2 linked regions of the Chlamydomonas reinhardtii genome follow. The protein of the gene in region 1 binds, or shares a complex with, the protein of each later gene. Links are inferred from orthologs where the notes say so. Each region holds a gene or a part of one and is shown on either strand. Other genes may lie near its edges.

What was found.
Region 2: CHLRE_16g687500v5 (region 1) and CHLRE_09g397950v5 share a complex: the UniProt entries of both Arabidopsis thaliana proteins name them as parts of the arp2/3 complex. The link is inferred for Chlamydomonas reinhardtii from reciprocal best matches to the Arabidopsis thaliana genes ARP2 and ARPC3.

Annotation. Positions count from the first base shown.
Region 1 is NC_057019.1:4,639,979-4,644,308, forward strand, and holds the start of CHLRE_16g687500v5 (uncharacterized protein), read left to right. Parts: upstream 1-1,251; 5' UTR 1,252-1,332; coding exon 1,333-1,383; intron 1,384-1,641; coding exon 1,642-1,755; intron 1,756-2,398; coding exon 2,399-2,484; intron 2,485-2,773; coding exon 2,774-2,913; intron 2,914-3,189; coding exon 3,190-3,251; intron 3,252-3,587; coding exon 3,588-3,674; intron 3,675-4,050; coding exon 4,051-4,152; intron 4,153-4,330. Other genes in the region: CHLRE_16g687550v5 (uncharacterized protein), read right to left, coding at 1-732. UniProt on the Arabidopsis thaliana protein: Functions as ATP-binding component of the Arp2/3 complex which is involved in regulation of actin polymerization and together with an activating nucleation-promoting factor (NPF) mediates the formation of branched actin networks.
Region 2 is NC_057012.1:1,519,666-1,523,893, reverse strand, and holds CHLRE_09g397950v5 (uncharacterized protein), read left to right. Parts: upstream 1-1,435; 5' UTR 1,436-1,469; coding exon 1,470-1,692; intron 1,693-2,103; coding exon 2,104-2,250; intron 2,251-2,509; coding exon 2,510-2,706; 3' UTR 2,707-3,631; downstream 3,632-4,228. Other genes in the region: CHLRE_09g397900v5 (uncharacterized protein), read right to left, coding at 243-405, 578-745. UniProt on the Arabidopsis thaliana protein: Functions as a component of the Arp2/3 complex which is involved in regulation of actin polymerization and together with an activating nucleation-promoting factor (NPF) mediates the formation of branched actin networks.

The sequences.
Region 1 (4,330 bases):
TCGCTCTGGGAACTGAAACACCAGCCCCACTTGCTGCATCCGCTCCTCCATGGTCAGGCCCCCAGGCCCCCCCGCCGCAGCCGCTGCCGGAGCGTGCGCGCCGCTGCCGTTCCCGTTCCCGCCCGCGTAGCCGTTGGTCGGCGGCAGCGCGACGCCGCCCGCCGCCCCGCCGCGCAGCACCCGCACCTGCCCCGACGTCTGCTCCGACAGGCCCGCAAGCACCTGCAGCAGCGTGGTCTTGCCGCTGCCGCTCCGCCCCATGACCAGCCCCAGGCTGTTGGCTGGCAGCGTCATGCGGATGTCCTGAAGCAGCGGCTGCTCTGCGCCCGGCGGGTGAAATGTGAGCCCCTCCACGCGCACCTCGGCGCCCGGTGCCGCTCCGCCGGCGCCCGCCGCTTGCTGCTGCTGCTGCATCTGCACCGCGTAAGCCATGAGCATGCCCATCACTGAGTTGGGGTCACCAAACGCCGTTCCGGCGCCGCTAGCGGGCCCCCCTGCCCCGGAGCGGCACAGCGGCGCCCGCCTGGCGCCATGGCCGTGGCGGCCAGGGCTGGAGGTCGCAAGGTGGCTGGCGGAGTCAGGAGATTGTGTCCGTAACGGCACTGCTGTGCCCTGACGGCGTCCGCTGCGCACGACCGGCGGCCAGGCGCGGACTGACGAGGGGCCGGGGCCAGCGCCGGCCCAGGAAGCCGCCGGTGCGCCCGACCGGGCCCTAAAGCTGGATTTCTGCATGGTATTAGCTAATGGCCTCGAACGCTTGTCGAGGCCGCCTGCTTAGCGCAGGCGCTGCGTGTAGGCGGCTGAATCACTTCTTGCCGCTAGTCGCGGCCGCGAGTAGTTTCAATTGCAGCTCCGTGTTCTGCTCAGATGCTGCCTTGGTGGTCTGAAAGTACTGGGTGTTCTTCTTCAGCACAAGCTTGGCTGACTTCTTCGCCTGGGCCTCCTTCTGTAGCTCCTTGACCTTCTTCTTCAATGCAGACGCGCGCTTCTTCTCTGCCTTCTTCTCCTTGACTGCTAGGGCCTTCTGGCCGTCCTTTGACTGTTCGGCGATGAATGCAGAGAGCTGTTTGCGGACCAGCTTAGAAGACATGGTCGTCACAGGAGCATCATACAGGGGCAGTGGATGTAAAACACTCAAGTATGCAGTAGAGGGGCAATGAAACTGCTGCAATGTCCAACTCGGGTTCACGGCATGGAGCACTGCGCCCCCCCATGTCATAAAATTTGCTTCTTAAATTTTCTAAGGACATAGATATACGAGACAAGATGAGCACGCCACGGCGAAGAGCGCGTTGGTAGTGTTACCCTCATTTCGCAACACCGCACAACAAAATGGGCGACTTCCAACGCGAGCGCGTGGTGGTGTGTGATAACGGCACCGGCGTGAGTTTGGAGGTCCACGTGTGGATCGGTGGGGCGGCACGGTTCCCGCGCTTTCCCGCCTGGCGGGTGCTGCAGTAGGCACGCTCGTTGCGCCGGCTCCGGAGACCAGTTCCAAACCACGCGCGCGCGTTAAGTTTGGTCACATCTGGGTAGCAGTGTACATCAGCATGGGGAACGTGTGGCTTCCTGCAACCCACGAAATGCGAACTGGTGACCTCCTGCATCACGACACGCTCCTTGTTTGCCTGTTGTCCGCAGCTCGTAAAATGCGGTTTCGCCGGCGACAGCTTCCCACGGGCGGTGTTCCCGTGCCTCGTGGGGAGACCCAGCTTCAAGTACAATGACCCCTTCTCCCAGCACCAGCAACTGAAGGTTTGTCCGTGGGGGCTGCAACCACCACCCGGCTTTCTCAGGAGCCCTGTCCAGAGCCGTGGGGGCAGTGGGGCAGCCCCTTCGCCCCACCGTGCCAGGCTGCGGGACCGCTGGGTGCAAGCGACCAGGAGGCTGAGGATAGAGGGCGGGGAAGTGCCGGAGGCATGGCGCGTGGTGCGGCCAACCGTGACAGGCATTTCCGGGCACGCGCCCGCTCCCGGGATCAAGCGCTGCGTGCGGTACCCTAGTGTTTGCCGTCCTTGCTACGGTAGCGGTCGGCATACGGCTGTGGCTTGGAAGACCGGGTGGAAATTGTAGATACCAGCCCAAACTGAACCGCACCCAATGCAGTAGAGCGAGGACCGGGGGGCCGGGACTGGCCGGCAGTAGCAGGGCCATACCACGGACCGCGCCTGATGGCCCTGGCGTTCCGCGCCCCCGGCGGATCTATTTCGTTGGGCTCTGGCATGTACCCCACCCCCAGTGCGCGCACGCAATGCACGTGCATAAGGCGGTGTTAGAGCGTCGCCCCCGGTGCTTGTGCGACACCGCCCACACTGCCGCCCACTGCCGCCCACACTGCCGCCCACACACTGCCCACACACTGCCGCCCACACACTGCCGCCCACACTGCCGCCCACAGGACATCTACGTGGGCTCCGAGGCCTCCGGCAACAAGGACCAGCTGGAGCTGTCCTACCCCATGCGCAACGGCGTCGTGCAGTCATGGTGCGGCCGGGGGCCGGGGGCCGGGGGCCGGGGTAGCGGCTGGACAGCTGGCCTGTGGGGGCGGGGCGAGGCTGGATCCAGGAGTGTGGTGACATGCGCTGCGGCAAGCGCTGCTGGGGCTGTTGCAACAGCGCAACAAGCGCAGCGTGTGGGGGTAGGTCCTGTCCAGCCGCCATTGCTCACAGGCTCAGGTGCCCACCCACGGCCATGTCCTGGCCACTCCTTCAATCACTCCGTTCCCCATGAACGGCCATCGCCCTCCCCTCGCCCCCCATCGCTGCGCCGCCAGGGAGGAGATGGGTTTGATCTGGGACCACGCCTTCGGGCCGCAGCAGCTGGCCGTGGACCCGGCCGAGTGCCGCATCCTGCTCACAGACCCGGCCATGAACCCCACCGCCAACCGGCAGCAGATGCTGGAGGTCATGTTCGGTGGGTGGCGGTGGTGGCCGGCGTGTCCCTGTGTGGGGGGCAGGGGAGATGGGGGGCTGTAGGCAACGACGTGCCGCCAAGTTGCCTGCCGAAACCGGAAGCGTACGGCAGTGCGAATTGGGGCGGGGAGGGGGTGCGCGGGCTGCTCTGGCCCGGAGGAGACACAGGTGCGCAGACGCAGCCCGCACAGTGGAGCTGCGAGGCCCATGACTTGTGCTGGAAAACACGAGGAATGGGAAACTCACCATGACTTGTGTGTGGTATGTGGCCGCGCAGAGACGTACGGCTTCGCGGGCGCCAACATGCAGATCCAGGCGGTGCTCACGCTGTACGCCCAGGTGTGTGTGCCCGGGTGTGTGTCCGGGTGTGTGTCCGGGTGTGTGTCCGGGTGTGTGTGCCCGGGTGTGTGTCCGGGTGTGTGTCAGGGTGTGTATCCGAGTGTGTGTCCGGGTGTGTGTCCGGGTGTGTGTCCGGGTGTGTGTCCGGGTGTGTGTCCGGGTGTGTGTCCGGGTGTGTGTCCGGGTGTGTTAGAGAGCACAAAGGAAGGGAACACACAGGACTGTGTGTGCGATGCGGTGCGACGCTTAACGGTGTTAGCGTTCGCGTCCTTTCCTGCACCGACCTGCCGAGCCGTTTTCACCGTACCTGCTCTCACATCAGCCACATGTCCACAGGGCCTGCTGACGGGGCTGGTGGTGGACAGCGGTGACGGCGTGTCGCACGCGGTGGCGGTGGTGGACGGATACGCCTTCCCGCACCAGGTGTGTGTGTGTGTGGGGGGGGGGGGTTAGATACCAGCCCGAACTAAACCGAACCGAATGCAGAAGAGCGAGGAGGAGAGCGTGGCCTATGCTTGAGGGGCGGGGGGCAGTGGTTCAGGGATGGCCACGGAAGGCAAGGGGTGGGCTGTGTCGTGAGTTCGTGGGCGGGAGAAAAGGGTGTCGATGGGGCGGCGAACTGGCGATGGACCTGGTTGGGTGCGGAGCTGCAGACGGACAATGCCCAACAGCAAACCGCCATCGAGTGGCACCCAGCCTTAGCACCTTCCCCGGTTGCCCTCTTAACCCAATCCGCATGGCTGCCCGGCTGCCCGGCTGCACACACGACCTGCCCGACTGCCCGGCTGCCCGGCCGCAGACCAAGCGCCTCAACATCGCCGGGCGCCACGTGACCGCCTACATGCTGGAGCTGCTGCAGCGCCGCGGCTACTCCCTCAACAGGACGGCGGACCTGGACGTGGTGCGCGCGTGTGCGTGTGCGTGTGTGAAACACAAAACAAACGGAACAAAGCCGCCGTGTGTGTGTATGTGTGTGCAGTGGTGGAGGGGGGAGGAGGGAGGGGAGCGGTTTGGGGATTGGGGAGGGGCGTGGGGAGGTGTGTGTGGGGAGGGGAGCACACAGGCCCAACGAGTGGGTC
Region 2 (4,228 bases), on another chromosome or scaffold:
CAGTTGGGGACGGTATAGCGGTTCAGATGCCGTGAGCACTGAGGCGCGGCAATCCCAGTCCGTGCTTCCGAATGTGCTGATAGCAGCGGCCACCAGCTGCAGCCCATGAGCGCCTCTTGCTGCAGTATCCGGGGGAACAAGCCACCGCGCAGCAGCACATCACTGTCCACCGCCCCTGAGCTCCAGCCAGCATTTCTATGCCACAGCTGCGCCCCTGGTGCTCCCCCTGATGCCTAACTCACTTGGGTAGCTGCGCTGCTCCGACAAGAACATGTACATGTCCACCAGCTGGCCCTTGGGGAACACCGGGTACAGGTAGCCTGACAGGTCGGCGGCGCCGCCCGCGCCCGCACCGGCCGCGGCGGGGCTGCCCGCGCCGCCGGCAGGCGGCGGTGTCTTCTGGCCCTGTGGTATGGTGGAATGGCAAGTTGGTCCTCCGCTAAGCGCAGACGGCAGCAGACGGGCCAGGCAACAGCACAACCACGCGCGCGCTGGACAGCATAAGACTTGAGCCGCGCTGGAGGCTGCCGAGCCCCACAGCGCGCGGGCTCCCACCAGCCGCCCCGGCTTCGCCCACCTTCATCATGTTCATGAAGTACCACATGACGCCCATGCGCACCACCATGCCCAGCAGCTGCCCGAAGCCGCCCTGCTGGCGCTGCTGGCCCGGCTGCCCGCCCTCCGCCCCAGCTCCCGCAGCGCCAGCGGCGCCTGCCGCGGCTGCGGCGGCAACCTCTCCGGGCATTGCGCTCCGGTGCTTAGCCTGCGAGGGGCGGCACGCCGGAGTCAGCCGTGGAGCACAGATCGCGTTGAGGGGGTGCGTGCCTTACGTGTGAAGACGGCGCTCGCTATGTTTAGACCTCTCTAACACCCATTCTGCCGACGCCCCGACCTTTGCGTCTGCGACGCCTCAGCTATAGCTAAACCCTTGCGGCTGGGGCGCCGGGACAAAGGTCCGTAAGATTGCGGAGATGATCCCCGCGCAGTTGAAGGTCGCAGGCCCGGAAATGCCTCCCGGCTTGCTCTGTCTAGCCCAGGCCATCCATCTATGTCTGGTAAACGCATACAATTCATAAGTTCACCTTGTGTGTGGCCGAGGGCTTCACGCGGCGGCTGATGAACTGACCGTGAGCTCCTGTGGCCAAATTCTGTTGCTATGTTAAGTATGCAGGAACGGTAAGGCCGTAAACTACTTAATTTTCGGCGTCTCAGCGGTCAAGCACCAAAAACAAACAAAAATCACTCTCGAACGCCCTGAAAGCAGACCCGAAATGCGGTTTAGTAATCCAGAACTGAGCTACGTCTGGTCTACGGAGCAAAGTGCCACCTTAGCAGCAGGCACAAACATGGCAACGAAAATTGGCGCCATCGGGCGATCGGGCTCGGAACTCGATTCCTCGTCCCGCTCTCAGGAGTGCCCATGCGTCTACACCGTCAAACTATTGCGCACAGTTGAACACTATCCTATCATGGCTTATCATAGTCACTACAACAGCGACACGGGTTTCAAGCTGTGCTGTGGTATTCCGCTCGTTCCGCTTAACCCCGCCGGCTCAGAGTCTAGCTTTGATCCAGTAGAAGAAGCAATTGAGCTGTTCAGGCCAAATTCCCTGTTTAAAAACTTTGAGTTCCGGGGACCTGGCGATAAGCTGCTGGTGTACCTGATTATCTTCATCAATAGCTGCTTGCGGCGTAAGTGGAGAGAGGGTGCAGAGGGCTCAGTCAGAGGCGGCACGGGTTGAGGGGGAGGGTGCGGCGGGTCCGAGGCTGCGTGTGTGCAGATTTCAGGGTGCCAGTTTAGGGTTGCGCCGTGGGCGTTTAGCGGGGGCATGCGGTCAACAACATGCCGAGGAGAGTGCTGCAGGGCTCACGGCAGCTTGCCTGCTCCCGCAAGACTGCAAATGCTTTGTAGCTGTGGGCGTGGGCTTGCGCCGCGTGTGACCGGTCTCCCACGGACACGGATGTGCATGCCTGCGCCACATGCATCCCCCTACCCCGCTCACACACACACACATACACACACATAAGCCACGCACATAGGTATCCGTAAGTGACTCCGGCGTTTGGGCGGGTCTCATTTCCGTTTCGTTGTCCAACACATAGGCCTCGCCGAGCGCAAGCCGGGGCCGCCACGGGAGGAGGCGCGCCAGCTGCTGTACGCGCACGCACACGACCGGTTCGCGCTGCCGGGGCAGGCGGGCTTCCCTCTCAGCGGCCTGTTCACGGCGCCGGCCAGCCGGGAGGAGGAAGGCAAGTCAGGTCGAGTGGTCGAGCAGGGGCAAGTGCAGATGTGAGTCAGCAGCGTAGACTGGCAGATGGCGATGTGCATTGGATGCGGGGTGGAGGGCTCCGCAGGCTCAAGCGGAACACCTCATTCAGCAGCGGTGCCGCCACACGGGGTCTCGCCAGCTGCGCGTCCCTTATGGCCCGGCCGCCCCGCCTTCGCCGCGCATGCCGGGGGCTTACATCCTTCCTGTGAGACAACTAACCTTTGCCTGCTGGCCTGCAGATTCCATCCGCACCTACCTGCGCCAGTGCCGGGAGGAGGTCGGCCGCCGCCTTCTAGACCGGCTCTACGGCCCAGCCGCCGCTGCGCCTGGCGGTTCGGGTGCGCCTGCCTCTGCCGCTGCTTCTTGCGCTGCTGCTACACCCAACAAGCACTGGATGGCGTTTGCCAACCGGCGCTTTTTGGACCGCACCATGTGAAATGCTTGCTGGACACACGCAGCGTGCAGACGGTCCGCAGGAGGGGGCGGCATAACGTTTTGACACGACATGTTACCGCGTACCGCCGGGGGGGGCGGCCTCACTCTGGTAGGCCGTAGCTGTGTGGGTCAGATGCAATTATGGACGTTGAGAGGCTGTAGTTCAACAGTTGCGATTGCGCAAGCAGGTGGGCAGATGGGCAGGCGTTGTCATGCAAGGGATCGGGCACGGGCAAGGGATCGGGCACGGTCGTGTGCGTGACCATGATACATCACTCCGTGCGTGAGCGGGCGGAGATGAAGGAGGTGACGTTTCAGTTCTGTCCGACAGCAGAGACGGTAGCGGATGTGCTGACGAAGGCACTGACGCCATGATTGTTCGGTGATGCCGGTAGTGCGGCATGGGGCGGTGGGTGAAACCGCAGGTACGGTGAGTGAAACCGTAGACGCAACAATGTAGGGGAGCATTCGGACACGGGGCAGTCGTGCTGTCATGATTGTCTGTGGATTTCTGGATGGACTGGAATGCGGTAGAATGCCATTATAATTTGTGCTGATGATGGACGAGGACATGGGAGCGTGATGCAACCATTTGAAATGACACAAAGTGACTAGAAGCGGAAAGCGTACGTGGTGAGATATGAGGCTAACGTGACACGTAGAATGGGTATGGAGTTCTGCCCGCGGGGGAGTGTTGACATATCGGTCAGAAGTTCAAAACTACACCAGGGAGAACGTAGGGGGTCTGAGAGTGCGTGTCGGACAAGGTATGCATGGTTCTGTTGCAATATCCTGTGGTATGGACAAAGAGGAGTGATCAGTGCAGGTTGTATCACACCAAAAGGGAAGAACTCGCATGGGAAAAGTGGGCTGCGCCCACGCCACGTCTTTAGTCTGAGGCCACAAGCGTTTACCTCATCTCCCGGACATAGGGTCGGTTCGTACAGGCACGGCCCGCCATATTGTGTCCAGCCACATCCCGCCGCCGAGCAACAGCACAGCCAGCAATGCTGCGGCCTACCACATACGGTGTCTGAAAACCCGGAACCCATGCGAGGGTATAAGCCAGAGAGCTACCCGACATAGTTGCGCAGTAAGGTTACGTATCAGTCTGCGTAGAAACCTCCCGACGCCTAAGTAACGAAGCAGCCTGACTGTTAGCCGCCCCTACTCCGGCTAGAATACAGCCGTAACAGCATACCTTATCGGAATAATCAGCCCGGGTTCACTACTGATTTGGCCTCCGTCCAAACATTGACAGTTTTTGGGCCGCAATTTCAAGGCTGCCGACCTATCCCTGCCTATCCTGACCTATCGGACGGGGAATCTACCCTTTTGGGAACCCTTCAGGAACCTTGCCACCGTGTCAGGTACCTCGTCCGACAGATTAGGTCAGGTCGGCCATTGCCGTACGGGCCTCCTTGTGCGGAGGTTTTTTAGGGTGCTTTGGGGAGGGGTGTGTGTGTGATGGGACAGGGTTCAGGCAGGTTGGCGAGGTCCCATAGGGTGCAGCTGACGCCCGT